2 linked regions of the Oryctolagus cuniculus genome follow. The protein of the gene in region 1 interacts with the protein of each later gene in a biochemical or structural test. Links are inferred from orthologs where the notes say so. Each region holds a gene or a part of one and is shown in the gene's direction. Other genes may lie near its edges. The genes, in order: RC3H2 and KLHL6.

What was found.
Region 2: the proteins of RC3H2 (region 1) and KLHL6 form a complex in vitro, tested with the Homo sapiens proteins (2 studies listed by BioGRID, with this or other methods). The link is inferred for Oryctolagus cuniculus from reciprocal best matches to the Homo sapiens genes RC3H2 and KLHL6.

What each region holds. Positions count from the first base shown.
Region 1 is NC_091432.1:226,889,791-226,893,703, reverse strand, and holds the start of RC3H2 (roquin-2), read left to right. Parts: upstream 1-1,319; 5' UTR 1,320-1,717; intron 1,718-1,882; exon of another isoform or gene 1,883-1,907; intron 1,908-3,913. UniProt on the Homo sapiens protein: Post-transcriptional repressor of mRNAs containing a conserved stem loop motif, called constitutive decay element (CDE), which is often located in the 3'-UTR, as in HMGXB3, ICOS, IER3, NFKBID, NFKBIZ, PPP1R10, TNF and in many more mRNAs.
Region 2 is NC_091435.1:93,143,911-93,147,823, reverse strand, and holds the start of KLHL6 (kelch-like protein 6), read left to right. Parts: upstream 1-1,554; 5' UTR 1,555-1,761; coding exon 1,762-2,051; intron 2,052-3,913. UniProt on the Homo sapiens protein: Involved in B-lymphocyte antigen receptor signaling and germinal center formation.

The sequences.
Region 1 (3,913 bases):
CCCATCGGGGACTAGAACTCAGTGTGCCGGTGCTGCAAGGTGGAGGATTAGCCTATTGAGCCGCGGCGCCGGCCTCTGCATGTAACTTAAAAAAATATCTTTATTTATTGGAAACAGAATTAGAGGGAGAGAAAGATTTTCCATCTGCCTGCTGGTTCACTGCCCAGATGGCTACAACTGCCAGGACTGGGCCAGGCAGAAGTCAAGAGCTTCACCTGGGTCTCCCATATTGGTGGCAGGGGCGCCAACACTTGGGCCATTTTCCATTGCTTTTCCCAGGTCATTAATAGGGAGCTGGGTAGGAAGTGGAGCACACAGGACTAGAATAGGCACCCATATTGGATACTGGTATTGTTGGTGGCATCTTTACCTGCTATGCCACAACGCTGGCCGCCCCTCCCCCCCGCTATTATTTTAATCATTGATTTTAAGAAATACCGAGTCTATAATATGTGCTTGTCTCAGTTGATTGGACAGTGGGATGATGTTTCTCTTAGATTTGCATATAGTTCACAGAAGAGAATGAAAAAGATAGCAATGCGTAAGAAAAGCCTGAATCTCCAAAACTACATCTTTGCTTGCCATGCAGGCAGTAATAACCTCATTTTAAAAGTTTATTATAGTTCATAAGTTATTTTTACAACTTTTAATTCGTGGTGGATTTCTGATTTCACATCGGAAGGTTTTGAGTTTTATTAGAAGTCATGGTCGTTAACCTGTGCGGTTGAGTTTCTTATCAGTAACAAAGGACACACACAATCTGCCCTTTGGGTTATTTTGAGAACTAAATGAAATAGAATATTAAAATAAAACATATACCAAGTGGCTTCATCCCTACTCCCTTCATCCCTACTCCCAGGCTGATTCTTCATCTGTGGCGACGGTGTGATTCCTGCCTGCTAGTATGCTGTGAAAAATCCCTCAACAAATATTTAGATACATGGATAGAATTTGTGGTTAAATGTTTATCTTTGTTAGCTGTTGAGATTAGAAGTTTCCCTTCAATAAAGAGACAGGGATGTGGAAGGGCCTCCGGAGCAGACGCTTGTTCTGTTTTACTTAGGATTTTGCCCTTGGGAGATTACTTGACATCTGTGTAGAGGGCCTGTGGGATCTCGCCAACATTTCATGAAGGCAGAGGGAAGTAGATCGCAACAGATACATCTGACTCTTCCTAACAGCGCCTCTTTGCACGATGGGCGCAGACACTCGCTCGAGGTGCAGATGAACGTGCAGGGAGTTTCCCATCAACCCTTTCGGTTTGCCTAGTCCTCCTCACAGCGCCTCCCACAATGCTCCACGGCTCCCTCCTCACGTGATGGAGGCGGATCCGCCCGACCGGAGACAAACGATGCGCAGTTTAGGTGGCGGGGATTACTACGTTTTCCTTCCACCTCCCCAACTCCCGGGCTTGCGTAATCTCGCGTGATCTTGGGAGTATCTTCTCGCGAGATCTGGGTCGGGATCCCTCCAGGTCCGCCTCCGTGGTGAGGAGGAGGAGGAGAAAAAGGAGGAGGCGGAGGGAGGAGGAGGAGGAGGCCCCGTCGCGGCCTTCGCCGCCGCCAACGGGGCTGTCCCTGTAGCTCCCGATGGAGTTTGAGGCCGTGAAACCGCCGCCGAGCTCTGCCCCGGCGAGACGAGGCGCCTCCGTCGCCGAGCCGCGCCGTCGCGGGGCTCCCGGGAGCGGCCCTTAGCGACCCCGCCCGGGCCCCCTCAGGTAGGGCGGGGCGGGCACGATGCGGCTCGGGCCCCGGACCGGGTGCCCGGTTCCCCGCTGCCGGGCCGGGAGCCTCGTCCCTGCCGGGAGGCCTGTGCGCTGTCGCCGCCGGCGCCCCGAGGGCTGGGGACCTGAGGGCCGCACCTGACACTCGGACGGAACCCGCGGCCTAGGGAGGCCCCTCTGTCGGGTAGGGCTGTTTTCGATGCGGAGCGACTGGCTCCAATGGCCACCTTCCTTCGACACTGGCCGAGGGGCCGCCTCTGACCCCCGCGGAACCCACCCGAGCCAAGGCCAGGCTTCCCTCTCCGCGCTCTGCACCGGCCGGGGAGAGAGGCTTTGGTCCTCGGAACGAAGTCTTCTCTTAGCTTTCGGGCTTTCCGCCCCGGGGCTGCTAGAGACCCTGGCCGCAGGGATGGTGGAGGCGATCGGAGTGGCAGCTAGGGACCCCGGCCAGACAATGCCCCGGGAGAGCGGCGCCCCGTCCCCGGGGGAGACGGCCGGCCCGGAGCGGCTGCTCGCTCGGGGGATGTGACTGGAGCAGTGGCACGAACACAGCCAGGCGGCCCTGCCCTGGCTTTCTGCTCTCCCTCTTTGCCTTCTCCTTCTTGGGGAAGCCTCTTGAGGAGCTTCTTCCACCATCTTAGAAGAATGGTAGAAAGCATCTTTGTTTCTCAGGCTACCAGCTCTACTTTTCCCTGCGCTGAGCGCCCAGGAAGGAAGGAGCTGTCATTTCCACCCTTCGGATCCCAGGGGAAGGGGGTCAGGCCCCGGCGGATGCGACCTGCACACCACAATAGTCTCCCGTCCTCACTGACAAAGTGCAGCGAACCCAGTGGTTCCCAGCCCGTGTTGTATTTCCATAACTACCTGGCTCCCCTTCTTCCCTGATTCCTACTCGTCATCCTCATCAGTTCCCTTGTTTTTAATTTCTGCTGCTCTCCGCCACCCCCTGGGATGAGAATGATTTTGTGTTCCCAGTGAAGTGCTTAAGCAATCTAAGCAATCTTTTTCAGTTTTGTTTTTTTGGGGGGGGGGGGGGCGGAGGTGGTGGTGGTCAAAGTTCCAATAAGAACTTTTTGATCAGGTGGAGAAAGCTAATGTTGCTACACCAAAGCGATAGAATTTTACCGGAAAACAAAAGAAAGCATGTTTTACTTAGATGGTGCATATTATGGTTCAATGTATAGACTTAGTTAAGACTTTCTGAATCGTTGAGAATGGTGTGTGGATTCTCTTGTCCTCTTTTATCTGGTTGAAGAGCTACACCACTCTGCTAACCTCAGGTCCCTGCCTTCATATTGTTTACTTCCACATTCATTGCTTGAAGAAACAGAGCCATTACATCCTGTTAAAGATTGTTTTTCAACGTTTCCATTTTTGTTGATTTGGAGATGAGATGAGTGTTTTCCACATTTGGGAGTTTGAAAAATGGCTAGAAGCACAAAATGTTAAGCATATATTAGTCATGTTTAGATGATCAAATGTTATTGTTCAACCAAGTTTTTATTCTGTGAGAATTTCACTGCAGTGGTGTCCACGAGTGGATCCTTTTCAGTCACTTCTGATGTGGTATTGTGTTAACCTGACAGGAAGACTGACATCCTTTGTTCATGTTTTCATTAATTCACTTTCTGCTTTTCTGATTTGCTGTCTTGTAGTTTGAAACTAGTCAACAGAAGTTCTTTCGGCAGTGCATTTGCCTTTACATTCAGAACTTTATATTCAAAAACAGAACTTCTCTATTATATGCAACAGCTAACAATGCTAAATAACAACAAGGTCAAAATAAGTAATTGCTTATCATGTTGGTTGAGATAGATTGGAGTTTAACTTTCTAGTGATAGAACAGGGAAACTTAGTCAAAAAAAAGCTATCTGAACGTTAAAAATAAATTTATATTTTGCACCCAGTTTCAATGAATATTGTAAGTTTTGTGATTATGACCAGGTTCTTCTAATTTGACAGCCTTCTTAAGTGTGTTTTACCTCAAAATTCTTAAGAATTTGTATTGTGTATTACTTTATATTCTTAATTACATTTTTTATTTGTATAAGTGGAACAAAGTTCATTTATCTCATACATAGAGTTTTCAGAACATAGTGACACTTCTCACCCCATTACTTTATATTCTTAAGTACTCTACTGTTGCACTGTCCAATGTTAGCAAATAGCCATGTGTGGCAGTTGAAGACT
Region 2 (3,913 bases), on another chromosome or scaffold:
AGCCAAAAAGCATCTTGATGGGTAGAGATCTAAGTAAAGAACAAGTTTGGGGGGAATATTAATGACCCTGATTTTAGGAGTACAGATCCATGGAAGATGAGAAGAGCTGAACAGACCGAAACTCCTGGGGAAGGCTCCATCACCACTAGCCGGAACGGAGGAAAGATCTGGGACTCTCTGAGCAGGAGGACTGCGGTACTGCCAACAGGTAGGAGGCCAGTGAGAGCAGATGTGACAGGGGAGGCTACTTGGTGAGGCCTGAGGGACTGGTCCAGCCATGGGAGGCAACCCCTGCACTTTCCTTCTGTGAGAAACACAAGAATTGGGGCTGTAGTGATATTCCCACCAGGTACCTGATGATAGTGGGGAACACAAAGGGCTTCACAGCCCAGCATAATAGGGCCCTGCCACTCATTTGAGCACAGCTTCAGTTCTCTTAGCCATAAAATGAGTATAGCCATTTGGTCACCATAAAGATCAAAATACATTAACTCCCAGGACATAGTGGGATTTTTATAAATGACAGTTATTGCTAACTAGCTGAGGCCAGCAGAGGTCATGATCCACCAAGGAGCTTGTCTATGTATATGTATATGTCCATCCACCATGCGTGGTCAGGAGGTGCTGTGGCAGATCAGGCCAATTTGAGACTTGCTGGGGCAGTTGGATGTTGATCTACCCTAACTGGTCTCCAGGAGAAGACACCCTGAGGGTGGAGTTTTAGGAAACCATTTCTTCTCTGCCCCAGAAGGATATTAGAAACAGGAGACGCCGGCGCCGCGGCTCACTAGGCTAATCCTCCGCCTTGCGGCGCCGGCACACCGGGTTCTAGTCCCGGTCAGGGCGCCGGATTCTGTCCCGGTTGCCCCTCTTCCAGGCCAGCTCTCTGCTGTGGCCAGAGAGTGCAGTGGAGGATGGCCCAGGTCCTTGGGCCCTGCACCCCATGGGAGACCAGGAGAAGCACCTGGCTCCTGCCATCGGATCAGCGCAGTGCGCCGGCCGCAGCGCGCCTCCGCGGCGGCCATTGGAGGGTGAACCAAGGGCAAAGGAAGACCTTTCTCTCTGTCTCTCTCTCTCTCACTGTCCACTCTGCCTGTCAAAAAAAAAAAAAAAAAAAAAAAAAAAAAAGAAAGAAACAGGAGACATTTTTTGGAGAGGAGGTGGTGGGGAACATTAATGTTTGCTCTGGTGTTGCCTCCGCCTGAGCAGGGAGGAAGATGAAGATAGAATTTGTGCAGTGCCCACAGAAATGAGTTGGGGACAAGGGGGTGGGGTGAGGTGGGGTTTCTAAGGTTCCCAGGGGATAGGGTAGGGGCTCATCTTGGGCTCTCAGACTCCTGCAAGGAGGCAGTGAGGACTGCGGCAGGCTACACACCCATCTCATCCTCAGCAATGTGTGTGTTGAAGCCCCAGGAGCACAAATGTCTTAACCAGAACCAGAGGCTTCCTGTTCACGGATACGGGGTGGGAGATGGACCAAAATAACCACACGGGGTTGGCAGGAGACTCTGAGAAGCCACCCTTTCTCTCCCAGAGCCCCTCCCACACACCCACCCTAAGTAATATCTAACCCGGGATCATTCACAGAAGGAAGAAGAATAGAAGTTGCTGGCGTTTGTAGTAACAGGATGAGAAAGTACGAGACTTCCTGTTATGTGTGTGTGACAGCTGGTGATAAGTGGAGGGCCCTGCACAGGAAATCCGCCCAGCTTCTGCATTGTGACCTGCCTGAAGCTTGGGTGCTCCTTCAGTCTGGTGTTGATGGCAGGACAAACGGGCGCCTGGACCATGAGCGACAACGCGGTGGAGAAGAGTTTAGAAGAGCCCTTGGCGCCTTCTGCGGATGAGTCCTCTCAGAAGAGGGGAGACTTGGTGGAAGTCTTAAATGGGGATAAGGTTAAGTTTGATGACACGGGACTCTCCTTAATTCTTCAGAATGGCCTGGAGACCCTCCGGGTGGAAAACGCTCTGACGGATGTCATCCTGTGTGTGGACATCCAGGAATTCTCCTGCCACCGCGTGGTGCTTGCCGCTGCCAGCAACTATTTCAGGTCAGCATGCCTAGGACCAGGGTCAGACTGGGTGCAGGTTGCGAGAAATGTCTGTGCGGACGTGAGAGCCTGATCTAACTTGTTGCTTCTTGCATTTATTATCTATTAAGGTCTGCTTAGCTACAGTATAAGCAAGGAAATAATGGAATCTTGGATTTTAGGATTTAAGCCACTTTGAAAGAGATTACCATCCTTTAAAAGCAATGTTTATATATTATGGCGAGTCTTTTATGTATCTGTCCTTGTTCCAAAGGATGGAAAATGACTTAAGTCATGGGGATTTTTCTCCCCTCGGTCTGACTAATGTGCTGGAAACATGGTATTGTCTGTGCTGATCAACAAAGGTGGAGAAAAAGGATGTGGTCCCTTTTGGGATTATCAAGAGACTCACTGAACAGCAGAGACTCCGTGTGTGTGCAGGGGCTGGGGAGGGGGGCAGGAAGAGCCCTTAGGTGCTTTAGATGCAAGAGGCCCCTCATTACAACAGAATGGCGGTTTCACACGGGCAGACCTGGAGGCAGGAGCCCGGGCTTCTGTCTCACTTTGCCCTTTCCTGACAATGCACTGAATTTTCTGTTTTGTCACCTAAAAGGGGGTCAGTGATGCTTTCCTCCCAGGTCTGTGTGATAATTAAATGTGAGAGTGAAAAGGGTCTTACATAGCTCCTGGCACATCGTAGATGCTCCATATATCTGTGTTGAAATTTTGCCCCTGATTCTGCTCAGTTCTGCTAAAAATCCATTTACTGAGTGTTTACCACTAGCACATCCCTGGGGTGGGAACATGGGAGAATCAGGAACCCGGTGAATGTGGCTGGATCTGGGTTCGCTGGATCACTGTGGACACGAGGGGGACCAGTCCTCAGGGTAATGCAGATGAAGCGAGTGTTTTGCAGAAGTGAACACTCAATACCCTTTATCATTCTTCTTAAGGCTAGAATTCTGGCCAAGGAAATGGACTCCTTTGACATGGAAGGTGTTTTCTTTTTTCACTTCTCTGGAATTCAGATAACTGGGTCAGCGAGGGTTGTGGGTTCCTGTGTTGTCGAGGCGAGGGGATATCTGAGTTTGAGGGAAGTAGTTCCTGCCACATGCTGGACAGACACAGTTATCTGATTTTATTTTTGCCACAGCGCATTGCAGGTGGCTGACACCCCTTTAACAGATGGGGAAATGGAAACACTACATTATATATCTGGGAGCAGAGTTAGAAAACATTCTAGAAATCCTTGTTTTAACTGTAGAAAAATGTAAAAAAATAGAAACTGCCACTAAGTTTGGGGTTTCATTCCATAAAAGCTAAAGTGTAAGCATCACCAAAAAATGGTTGACAAAGGTAAAATGCTATACTCATTCCACCATTATTTATTTATTAGAGAGGTAGAGTTAGAGAGAGGGAGACAGAGATAGAGACAGAGACAGAGACAGAGAGAGAGGTTTTTCCATCTGCTGGTTTACTCCCCAACGGCCAGAGCTGAGCTGATCAGAAGCCAGGACCCAGGAGCTTCTTCCCGGTCTTCCACGCTGGTGCAGGGGTCCAAGGACTTGGGCCATCTTCTACTGCTTTCTCAGGTCATAGAAGGGAGCTGGACTGGAAGAGGAGCAGCCGGACATGAACTGGCGCCCATATGGGATGCCCGTGCCACAGGCGGAGGCCTAGCCTATTGCCACAGCGCCGGCCCCTGTTCCACCATTATCAATCGTGTGCTTTCCCATTGATCACAGCCCATTTCAAGAGTGAATGAAAGTCAGTTTAGCTCAGTGTCCTGGGCATTCACTTTTAGGTTTGTTCTTTCTGTTTGGAAGCCCTGGAGAACGGCTGTCATATAACATGCATCTGGTTAGCAATTTTGTGAGTGAGAT